Linked DNA regions of Cricetulus griseus. Each later gene encodes a partner of the first gene's protein in a complex. Links are inferred from orthologs where the notes say so. Each region holds a gene or a part of one and is shown on either strand. Other genes may lie near its edges.

Region 1 (4,119 bases):
GAGATGAGGGGAAGGACAGTGTGTAACTCGTGAATTTATTATTGTGGTGCAAATCCTACCGGGGTAGTGGGCGGAGAACACTCAAAAATGCAAACCATTTTTTATAGGAATGGCTACAGCAGAAATTACAAGTCAAACTTTAGGGGCTGGCAAGGTTGTTAATCTGCTAAGAGCTGTACCACTCTTGTAGAGGATCAAGTTTGGCTGTGAAAACCCACGTTGTTTCTGCCCCGCCCCCCTCCATTCACGTGCACATACAGGCACAAAAACACACATACATATACATAGTAAAATATATTTAATTTTAAAAGTCAGACTTTTACTTACACAAATGCAACATTTTAAATAAGCATTTTGTTACATGAGTTTACTCACAGCTCCAGGCATTTTGCATAGATGAAGCAGAGGCTGCCTTGCTGTGCACCAGCACCACCGGTACCTCTGTTGTACCAACCTTAGAGACATCCTTGCTGGTAGCAACTGTCCCAGGCTACGTTGCTATTAATTAAAGAGCTTGCTGGTCCTTGCGCTTTCCTTATGCTGTGCGTTCCTCCAGGGTTGTTGTCTTTCATCACTGTAACCCCACTGGGCCAGAACTTTGCAGGCAATCCCATCTGGGCGTGTCAAGATGGACTGTGGGTCGTCCTCCCCAGTCCATTTCCTAGCCTCCCAAGGAAGCAATAGTGAAAAAAGTCCACATTAGTATAGTTTTCACTGGTTATGTTAAATTTATGGAAAACATCGAACCGTTTATGAGACACCATTCCAAGGAAATCGGTGTCACAGAGTTTTAAAGTCTTCTCATTCCTGCCCTTACCCCAGGCGTCGCCCTGCTGTTTGGCACAACTGCTTTCCTGACGCATCAGGTAAACCTGCCCCGGGGAGAACAGTGTGTGGCAGAGGTGCGGTCCCCTGGAGTTTCCCAGAGCAGAAACTTCATCATGGGGAAGAAACCTCCACCCGAGGACGTGTGTTCTCCTGTCCCATTTCCACCTTCTTTTAAAAAAAGAAAAGAAAAGAAAAATCCAGTCACAAAGGTTTCTACTACATTGCTGCGAACACAGCTTTGAGAAGGTGGGGCAGGGTGATGAGTAGCCAGGCACTTCAGCAGCACTAAAAGCAGGAGCAACTTAGCTGCCTAGGAGCCGGAAGGCGCCCTGACTTCACAGCTGGAACTCCAAGGACCCGCTGCTGTGATTCGGGAGGGGGTCGGGACCAGGGACCGAGCTTGGTGGAGTCCACCATCGTGGTCCGAGGGGCGCCGCTGAGTGTGGCACGGAGCAAAGCGGTGTGTCTGCCTTAGGTGGCCACGGGCACCCAGCCGCCTCGTCACCCTAGGTGAGTAGAGGGCTACCGTGGTCCTGGAGGAGCGGACTGAGCTGCTTTTGCGAACCCTGGCGGCTGCCTGGGGACACAGCGTCCCCCGCACTCGAGTTGGTAGCCGCCGGTCGCGCTGGGGAGGTCGGGGGCGGAGAGGAGGCGGTGGCCGCCCCCACCGGGAGGGGCGCCCAGAGTGCGCGGTGCGCGGCCTCAGGGACTGGCTGGCTGCAAGGCTGTGGCGGCTGCGGCGGCTGCGGTGGCTGCGGGAACCCGGACTAGGACCGCAGGGAAGGAGGGCGGGAGCGAGGGCCAGGCCCAAGGGCAGCGGGACCTGTGAAGAAAGCTGCGACTACAGAGAAAGATGAGCTGGTGAGTGGGCGCCTTGGGCGCAGGTTTTCTTTGCGTCCCTTGCAGGCTGTAGGGACAAAAGCCTGGGCAGGGGTCTGGAGAGCCCGAACCGTACCACCCTAGGATACTCTGCCCTCCTTATGCATGACGATGTCGGGTAGAGGGCTCGTGGGGAAGGGGTGCTCAGTACGGTGACGCCTCTAGAGTGGTTGAGGCGAAAAGGCAGGATTTAATTAAGGGTCTCTAAGGCAACTTTCGCGGAAACTTGCTTAAGCAGAGATCTAGACCCCAGGAAAAGAGAAGGTCCACAGCTGGATCCTGAGGAATATGGGGTTCCGAGAGGATCTTTTTGAATTAGGCTTCTAGATGTACTTTGTTTCCAGAGTGAGGCTGCAGGGTGAGCCTCCGGACCCAGATTCTCACCAGGAGTCCTTGATTGCGATTCAGCTATAGTTTCCCTAAACGTAGATGGTATAGTGTTCCCTTCGCCCTTAGTGATGGCAGCTCCAAATCATGGGATCCTTTCGACCCTGTTTCACAAGCTCCCTACACTGCGAGGAGCAGTTGAACTGTTCTTGGTGCGCTCAGTAACTTTGCCCCAGCTATCAGCACTTGAAGCCCCAAGGACCTGGCTAACTCCCGCCACCACCAGGAAATTAAAAGGCTGACGGGCTGTCCCTTCCCGGATTGGGATTTCCTGTTTGGAAAAGCTTTACAATTCCAACCTCCTTCCAGCGGTTCCTCTTTTACCTTTCTCACTTAAAAGAGGGAAGACTCCTGCAGCCTTTTATGTGGACCGGCTAGGGCTGGAAATCCTTTAGCTCGGCCCAGCCCTCTTCCCTGGAAGTCTTCCTTTTGTGGTTCTGAAATAACTCGAGCTTTGGGATGCACAACTAGTCACAGCCCGGCGCAGCTGTGAGGGGTCTAGAAGAGACATAAAATGTGGAGTCCGTTAGTATAAATATCTGCCAGCCGCATTTCCTTCCAGAATATGAATGTGTAAGTTACAGATGTAAATTTTCAACTATGATGCTTGTAACTAGGCTCCCAACGTGGGCTTAATTTGGACGTTTGAGATTTTTTTCTTTGGGCTTCAAACGTTTGAATTTAGCTGGGAGCCTCCAAATATGGTTCACAGTTCCACAGGGTTAAACTTTTGCCCTTGGATCACTTGAATTCTTTGTTCCTGGTAGGATAGCAACAGAGTAGTTGGATTTGGGATAAATAAACCTTGAGAGTAGCCCACTATTTTAACAGAATATGCCTGGTGCCGTTGGCTTCAATTGTGTAAATATTTATTTGAATAAAGAGCTAAGATTCTCTGAAAAGTAGCAGTTGTATCTTTCGAGGTTCCCTTTTCCTATCTCGGACTTAGTTGTTTAAAAGGTTTTTATTTATTTATTTTTCCTGATAAATTCATTGTGTAACTTAAACATAACGCATAATTAAGAAACTCGGTACAGGGTCTCCAAACTTTGACAAAGGGAGGAGAGTTGAGTTTTTGCTTTCAGTTAATGTAGCTTTTACTCCTGAGGCAGGGAAGTTTGCAAATCCTAGCTCTCTCACAAACGGCAAAATGAGATGTTTGGTTAAGAGCCGTCATCATTGTCAATTTTCAGGCTGGTTCTCTGCAGCTGGCAGCTGCTGTTCTTTTGGGGTGAGAATGACTGCAGAGATGTCTGCTTGATCCTTTTGGGGCAAGCAAGAAATGCTAGATAAGAAGATAGGGAAAGGTTTAACAAATGTCTTCAACAACTCTGGCCAAAGTTAACTACTTTTGCAAGCATTCTCAGGAGACAGAAGAAAAAGCCAAAGTTGATTTGATCAGACTCTGGTTTTCACTCCTTTCATCAGTGTTGAAGACTCTAAGCATGATGGGTTGTGGAGTACAATGAAGAAATCAAGTCTGGGGTCTTGATTAGTTTTTGCATAATTTTTAAAAGCAGCTGGGGTTGTGGTTATGACAATTGACCCTACAGGATGCTAGATTGCAGACATTGGGAAAGAGGTAGTGCCACAGGTGACAGGGAAAGACAGGAGCTTAACACATTCCCCAAGAATACCTGTGCTTTATAATGTGTCGCTAAATCTCTCTGTGCTTACTTATTAGATGCAGGAATGCCATCCATTTGAAAAACAAACACCTTCTGAGTGATGCCTTAGAGCCCTGCAATGTATTTTAGCAGTAGTTCTCAGGAATAGGAGGTGGCATACAGTCTGAAGGGAATGCTGCACAGTGTATTTTGATTATCATAGCTGAGGATAGGAATATGCAACCAGAGTCCTTTGAATAGAGATCTGTTAAATACCCTGCAATGTCTAGAACACAAACAACTGTCTGGCCCAATCCCTGTTCTAGAGCATTTCCCCAGGTCAGCCAGATGTTAGCAAATTAGGAATCTTAATTTAATTTGGATCCTCACAAAATTTACTTAACTCTTGTTGCTCAAC
Region 2 (4,271 bases), on another chromosome or scaffold:
AAAGGGGTCAAATGAAAACCAGCATGTGAGCACACAGGTTGGAGTCATAAATACCCTTTCTCTCCAACCAATGTCTCCAAGTTTGCAAGTCTCCCCCTCCCCCTCCCATTTCTCCTCCTCCCCTTCTTCCTCTTCCTCCTCCTCCTCCTCTTCTTCTTTTTTAGAGATAGGGTTTCTATCTCTATTGGAGCCTATCCTGGTACTCACTCTGTAAACCAGGCTGGCCTCGAACTCACAGAGATCCACCTGCCTCTGCCTCCCCAGTGCTGGGATTAAAGGTAGATCACTTCTGTCTTGACCCTTTGTTTCCCAAGTATGGTGCTAATATTTCCTTTCATTTACTTCTTAAGTAGTGAAGATCTCAATTTGTCTGTGATTCATGCTGTGAACCCAACTCACACAAACATATGCAAGTTACATACAAGCTTATTTTTCTATCAGAAACCAAGATGTTCTTCTGAACAAAGGAATGTTAAAATAATGACAATTAAAAACACAAGGCAGTTATCAATTGACTTTATTTGCTTTCATACGGTAATGCCAACAGTGCATACAAATACTTTTGTAAATAAAATATATAATCAAAAGTTTTTTTTTTAACTTTATCACATATCATCAGTTGTTACATTGTCCTTATAAAGAATATTTGGCATCAGTAACAGTCTTGCTGGTATTTTTCAACCAGGCTCAAATAACAAATTGAGCTTTTCAAATGGTGACATTTAATCAACGTTTAAACTAAAACCCCAATCGAGGAAGAAGCCAATATAGCAATCAAACCATGAACGGGAGCATCCAAAGGACATCACCATTAGCATCAGATAATTGTAGTTAGATATAAAGAGTAGTGTTACAAGTGTCACAACGAACAGCTCTGTAACCTGCTGAGCACATAACAGGAATACTGCTGACATTTAGAAACGGTTATCACCAAATCTATTACCATAAACTGAGCTGCCTACCTGCACCCCAGCGGGTGAGCTCCTGTCTGTACACAGTTGGTCTTGTTACGTGTAACCCCAAATGAAAACCAGATTGTCTCCAACACCACTGAAAACACACATATACACATGCCACAGGAACAGCTGTGCTTGGCTTTCTAGCCTCTTTGCAAAGAGCTTTTGGGCCTTGTGTTACAGAAAACATGAGCAATATGCTACTGGACAGGAAGACCATTAGAAAACGGCCTGCAGCCTCAGAGTATTTGGATCCCTGACTGAAATAACACGAAGCCCCCTCAGTTGACAGTATGAGTGTAAGGGACAGTGGACATGGCTAGGTGGACTCCTTAGTTCCATGTAATGGTGCATTTAGCAAAGAAGAAAATGAGAAACTTAACATGTAAAAAGGTCCTGTTTTGGTTTGGTTTTTCCAAAGTCACCCTAACAAAACCTTTTCTGAGGGGACTGAGTGCATCCAAAGCCGGAGGCACGAGTAAAGCCGGAGCTTCTACACCGCTCTGCGATTTTGTGGGCGTCAACGTAGTGCACAGCATGGAGAATTTAACACTGTTAAAATTCATCACTGGAGGAATTCCCTGTCTCCTCAGGAATCAGCTGGTCTACAAAAACCTGAGAACACTGGGGTTTCTTTGTTTTTAATCTGATCTTTCGATCCTTGTGTCACAAAATAAAAGTTCTGTTTTCTCTATACTGTATATATATATATATATATATATATGTATATATATATACATATTTAGAAAAATATATGAAAATAAGACAGTCAGAGGCAAGTGGAGGTGCGGCTGGCATTCTGCGGCCCCGGATGCGGTGAGCAGTGGGATCTGGAGAGCAGCACGTTCAGCTTAGACGCTGCAGCAAACACGGGTGTGGCCAAACCGTCCACGCTGGGATGTGGATGAAGGAGCACTCTGGGAAACGCCCAACCTGAAACGCAGCACTTTAAACAGAAGATACCACAGACATTACATTCCACAGAGGCAGAGTGGGCACACTTCTGTTCACCGGTGTCTCGTTTCTCTCAGCGTCTTCAGAATGGGCACGGCGCCCCTGCATTACACACAGCTCCACTTCCGAGGGAGCAGACGTTGGAACAACCAGCAATGCATAACCTGTCACCTGTCACATGAACTACTTGAAAAACAAAGTTGGAAAATGACACCTGTGCTCCTGGTGCTTGCCCAGATGCTCTGGTCAAACATTGGAGTCTTCATCTGTGATGCTGGCACTGGGGGAGCGGGCAGCAAAATCTTTAAACATGTCGTCTTCCTTTAACATGTGCTGGAAGACAAGGGGCAGCAAGTTACACACTTAGTCCTGCCAACAAGCAAGTGGGTATTTGTGGCTTTGCACACTTTTAGAATAACTTTTCCAACTCCCTGAACACACTTACTGTGAGATTGTTGATGCCTTCGGAAAACGCGCCTATCTGTCTCACTGTCCCTTCAGAATCTTCCATCTGCCAAGAACAGGCCATAATGTGACAAACCCATTTGCGAGATTTCAAAGGGGCAGACGAATGAAAGCAAAGTCGAAAGAGCACAGTCACAGAGTGCAGCAGAACAGCAGGGACCCTGTGCCTCGGTCTCCCCACTGAAACACCGTCAAGGTCCTAGATCAGTACCAACAATAAAGCATGCCAGGTGCTTAGGGCAGTACTGGGAAGTGGGCGGCTGTCCACAGGCATTCAGAATACTCTGCTATTCTCGTTTTCAGGCATTTGCAGACAGTGTGCAAAGCTTCCATGGTGTGTCCGAGTGCCTGTGAGCACACAGTACGGGGCTTACCTGCTCTAACCGATCCAAGTCATCCTCTTCATACAGACGCATGTCCAAGCCAGGTCTAAACCCCTTCTGGGAGCTACTCCCCGACACCTGCCCCAGGTCCATTGGACAAACATATTCCTCTCCGTCTTCATGCTTCTTCTTCCGCAGATTCCCAAAGTTGCTAAAGGTCAGTTTCTTTGGCTTTAAAAGCAAACACAAAGACATCCAGAAATTTGCTAAAACTCCTCTGACAAAGTACTAATAACATGTCACTTCATCACTCAAAGAAAGCAACTTGGATGATCAAATTATCGAAAGAAAACCAGAAGTATCCTGGACATATTCGTAAATGGTCTTGTAACTCTCACTGTTACGCCACAGGCTGGACATGTCAAAGTCTATTGTTTGCTTTAGACAGGACGTAACACAATACATTGCCTCTCCGGGACAACTCAAATTTTGCAAGGCTATTCGACCTAAGCTCAGTGAAAGAGAGCCCTAGCTGGTCTAGTGGCATAGGCCTGCTGGCTGCCGCATCTACTTGATCTACTTGAAAGCCGGAGGGAGAAGAATCACAAGCTTAAGGCCTGCATGGGCAACTTAGCCAGAGCCTGACTCAAAACAAAACAAAACAAAACAAAATTTAAAGGAGGCGGGGCAGACTGGGGGTGTGTAGGTCAATGGTAGAACACTTGTCTAATATGATCAAGACCCTAGGCTCAATCCCACATTGGATGGAGAAGAGGGAAGGAAAGGGAGGGAGGGACGGTAGATAGTGAAGCTGTGACTATTTTGTTTGCCTTTTCTGCTTTGTGATGAGACGGTGAGTGGTAAAAGGATTCACACTCTTGGAGAGAAACTTCATCTTAGTCCCTACACAGCCCCCAGGGAGAAAGGAATTCAAAGGCAGACAGGGTGCAACAAGAGAGCGTGCCCTATGTTTCTGCAGAAACTCTTAAGTTGTCTTCACATGAAGGATGTGGAAACAACACATACAGACCAGTCGATGTAGGAATAACTCAAAAGAAAAAGTAAATCTCTTACAGCCCTCAAACCTTGGTACATAAAAACCACCCCAGGGTCTTCTTTATGTGTAGCTCAGCCTCTTGCATGCTGGGATTACAGGTGGGTGTAACAACCCCTGGTTCTGATTCTCTCCGTGAGGAGGGTTTTCTGACTTATAAACAAGGCAAGCTGAAGATGTGCAAGGGGAAATCTTGCTTGGCTCATGTACTTATCGGCAGCACTGGAGATCAAGCCCGGGCCTCATGCTGCCAGGCAGAGGCTCACCCTCACCACTCGGTTATTCCCACCCCAAGTCCTCCTCTTACACCTCTTTACCAACAGGAAAGCAAAACCACTGCAATGGTAAACCTGGCCCAGGTCATAGTCCTCAGCGTTGACAACAGAAGCCACATCAGCTTTGACTCTGATAACATGAATGACTTCAGCAGAGACTTTCCATCATGCAGTCCCTTAAGTGCTCTTGAAATTCATAAACATATGTTCATATAGACTTTTTAACTCATTAACGAAACCGAGT
Region 3 (3,500 bases), on another chromosome or scaffold:
CTGCTCTCAATCTCCTCTGCCCGCTGCTCTGTATTCTCCTTCTCTTCTTGTATCAGCCTAAAATGCAAACAAGAGCAGTTGGTTTTATTTCATCAGGAAGCCCTATGTGTGCAAGCAGAACAAGCCAAGTCTGGCTGGGGGTAGGGGTCTTCTTATATGTGAGCCCAGAAGCTGGAGGCTACAGTGGGAGGAAGGTGCCTTCAAGACCAACGAAGGCTACACCAGGAGACCCTGTAGCTAACAGCAGAATGCTGGTGATGTTAGCACTACTGTCTCCCTCCACTAACAGCTAGAATGTTCCTGTGCTCACTCTTAACACAGACAAAGGTATGCTAAGCACTGGATGATGGAAGGAAGGAAACCCACTGCTTCTTGTCCACAGCATGATCAAATCACCACTTCAACTTACACAACAGCACCTTGCATGTCTTGTCTGGCCTTCCAGGAATAGCTCTGGGTAGCAGGGGAGTGATTTGGGCCCAGTTTCTCTATTTATGAAGGGATGGAAGAGTTTCACCTCCCCTAGTATAGTGTAGAGAGGTGGCCAGGCTGTCAGAGGTAAAGACTATCTCAGAAGCCCAAGTGCTCTGCTGTGGGGGGCTGTAACGGGGATGTTGATCCCACCTATACCATGCTTTCCCATGAAAAAGTGAACTGCAAGACTCATCTCTTGAGTTTTCAAAGTGTACAACACACTAGGCCTCATTATAACACCTTCACACCTGTACAGCATCTACTCTAGTCTCTGGTCATCTCCCTGTCCCCTTCCTTCCACCCTCACACCTTCACAATATCCACTCCAGTCTCATCTCCTTCCACTTTCTTTTTGTTGCTCTTATTTTGAAACAGGGTTCCATGTAGTCCAGGCTGGCCTTAAAATTGTTTATAGTCTAGTCTGGCTGTGAACTAACTACTCCTCCTGCTGCCTCCACCTTCCAAGAGCTGGGATGACAGATGCATGCCATTGCCTCCTGGTTCCTACTATCCTTGTGTGTCTCTCTCTCTCCCTCTCTCTCTCTCTCTCTCTTTTTTTTTTTTTTTAAAGACAGGGTTTCTCTGTGTCTTTGGAGGCTGTCCTGGAACTAACTCTTATAGACCAGGCTGGTCTCGAATTCACAGAGATCCGCCTGCCTCTGCCTCCCGAGTGCTGGGACTAAAGGTGTGCGCCACCAACGCCCGGCTTCCTTGTGTCTCTTACACACCAAATATGTACATATATATACCTGATCTCTTTATTGATGGCATCCAGCTGTTCCTGAAGCATCATGGCCAGTGTCTGCGCATCAGCTTGCCCACTGGGTGACAGCAGATCAACTGAGCTAAGCAGAGTATCTCTGTCATCTTCGCCATCAGACACATCCACATCACTCTCAAATGCCTGTGCCACATTTGCCAAGACGCTGGCTTGTTGGGCCCGTTCCCAATCCTGTTCGTTGAGGGTCTGCACCTACCAACAAGAACACTATGTCTCAGTAGATAAAAGTAACAGCAAGCACTCAAAGGGTAGGGAAGGCTGCTATTAGAAATGTGAGCAGTCTTACTGCAAACCAAGGCTTTAGGAAGATGCTCATGCACCTGAGCTGCTGCTAAACAAGAAGCACCTGACAGACAGGGTGAGCCCTGAGGAACACACCTGTAATGGAAGCACCTAGAAGGAGGATACAGAGATGGGTCTAGATTTGGGGGCCAGCTGGGGCACAGGCTGAGCCTGTCTCATGGTGAGAGAGCAAGCACACACACTGTGATAGAAATGCCTGGGACATTCCACATCTACACTCAGGTCACCCACTTTGATGGAAATTGAAAAGGAAGCCTAGGGGCACATGAAGGGATATGCTCAACTGCCATGGAATGATGCAGTGGGTGTGAGCTTCCCAAGCCTGGTACAGACAAGCACCAAAAAAAAGCCAGAGGAGGAAAGCAAAGCAGGCATGTGAACATAGCCAGTGGTCCCTGGTGCAGTTTCCAGGGGAAAGGACTATACAGAAGAGACCCCTATTGTGAACACTGCCCATAGCAGCCAGTGTTAAATCCTCCTGGTGGTTAATGAATCCCCTCCTTACCCCTCCCCTTCCAGCTGCTACACTCCCTCCCTCTCTGTGGATTGAAGGTCAGGGCTCATGCCTTCCTTTCCTCCAGAGGCACTACACCTGCTATGGCTTCCACCCAGACTTCCTACCAGTGGCACCCTCATCTCCTCAGGTAAGACAGCATCTCCATCCCTCATCTTGAAACCACAGATAAAAACCACAACATTCTGCCACCCTACTTCCTTGTCCATCAGCAAAACCTCTCCAACAACTGCCATCTGTTTCTGCCCTTCTTCCCACTCCCAAGGGCTCACTCAAAGTGGGCAGAGTACTCAAAGCGAGCAGAGCTGGTCAGCTCCCATAGGCTCAGGCTTGGCTGCTGTCCTCCCTGGATAGGCTATTCAGCTGGCCCCAGGCCCCAGCCCTCCTGGCTTATCATTCTCCTAGCCTGTAACACTGTAACTCTAGAGTCAGGTATCCATGGTACCTAACTGCCTCCTGCTTCTTATCCTTGGCATACTGCAGTGATTTGAAAATATACCCCTCTCTCCAAGTGGAAGACAATTCAATGGTCTCCATATGGGAACAAACCACAATGACTCACAGGAATGGAGGGAATATAACTGATAAAAAGGCATGTGGCTTCCCAGACCAGGTAGTGAAGGACCTGGACTTCCTCCTGGATTTCTTCAAATGTGAGCTCTGAAGAGAGCCAGCAGCATACATACCACAAGGACCCCAAAGAGTCCATGCAGGTCAGTCAGCAAGGGCTTGAAAATTCTGGCCCACACTGCCAAGCCTTCCCTATCTACAAGCACCTAAGGCCCTCAGTCATGCTGCTCCTAAATCCCAGGGCCCATGAACTGCCCGTAGCCATACCATCAGCACAGAACTTCATGGTACCCGCCACAGAGCTAGCTAGGTACAGACTACTGTACTGCTCACTGCTTGTAGCTTCAAACTACTCTTGAATTCATGGCAAGCCTGCTGCCTCAGCCTCTTTGAGTACTAGGATTACAGGTGTGTGCTGTGCCACTACACCTGGCATCATTGACATTTTTTATTTACTATTTCAAGTACATACCAATTAGCATTAACTTAAAGGATATTTTATTAAAAATTCTGTTCTTAAAGAAAGAACTAAAACCAAAAAGCAAGCATACCCTAAAAGCAAGCTCTTAGCCAGAAAAGCCAAGGAAAGGAACATGGGGGAAGAAGGAGACCGAGAGTCTGTCCAAGAGGAACAGGTGACGTTCCGCAAGCGGAGGCCTTGCCTTGGAGGGCTCGTCCCGCAGCGCTGCCAGCCGGCCCTTCTGGGGGCGCCGCAACACTGCACTGGTGCTGTAAGCATCCACATGCCCGTCTGCCACAGGGAACCTGAAGTCCGGGACGCTGCCCAAATGGGGTCGGCTGAAACATGGGAAAAGGTGGGTATCAAAAGGAAGGTAAAGTGTCAAGCTGGAAAGGTCT

The links. Proteins that work in one complex are often made in the same cells at the same time.
Region 2: Phldb2 (region 1) and Ppfibp1 share a complex: the UniProt entries of both Homo sapiens proteins name them as parts of the cortical microtubule stabilization complex. The link is inferred for Cricetulus griseus from reciprocal best matches to the Homo sapiens genes PHLDB2 and PPFIBP1.
Region 3: Phldb2 (region 1) and Ppfia1 share a complex: the UniProt entries of both Homo sapiens proteins name them as parts of the cortical microtubule stabilization complex. The link is inferred for Cricetulus griseus from reciprocal best matches to the Homo sapiens genes PHLDB2 and PPFIA1.

Annotation. Positions count from the first base shown.
Region 1 is NC_048597.1:44,757,399-44,761,517, forward strand, and holds the start of Phldb2 (pleckstrin homology-like domain family B member 2), read left to right. Parts: upstream 1-1,319; 5' UTR 1,320-1,338; exon of another isoform or gene 1,339-1,374; intron 1,375-1,504; exon of another isoform or gene 1,505-1,689; intron 1,690-4,119. UniProt on the Homo sapiens protein: Seems to be involved in the assembly of the postsynaptic apparatus. May play a role in acetyl-choline receptor (AChR) aggregation in the postsynaptic membrane.
Region 2 is NC_048601.1:2,678,480-2,682,750, forward strand, and holds the end of Ppfibp1 (liprin-beta-1), read right to left. Parts: intron 2,930-4,271; coding exon 2,750-2,929; intron 2,422-2,749; coding exon 2,356-2,421; intron 2,244-2,355; coding exon 2,157-2,243; 3' UTR 501-2,156; downstream 1-500. UniProt on the Homo sapiens protein: May regulate the disassembly of focal adhesions. Did not bind receptor-like tyrosine phosphatases type 2A.
Region 3 is NC_048596.1:56,855,100-56,858,599, reverse strand, and holds part of Ppfia1 (liprin-alpha-1), read right to left. Parts: intron 3,441-3,500; coding exon 3,305-3,440; intron 1,448-3,304; coding exon 1,224-1,447; intron 58-1,223; coding exon 1-57. UniProt on the Homo sapiens protein: May regulate the disassembly of focal adhesions. May localize receptor-like tyrosine phosphatases type 2A at specific sites on the plasma membrane, possibly regulating their interaction with the extracellular environment and their association with substrates.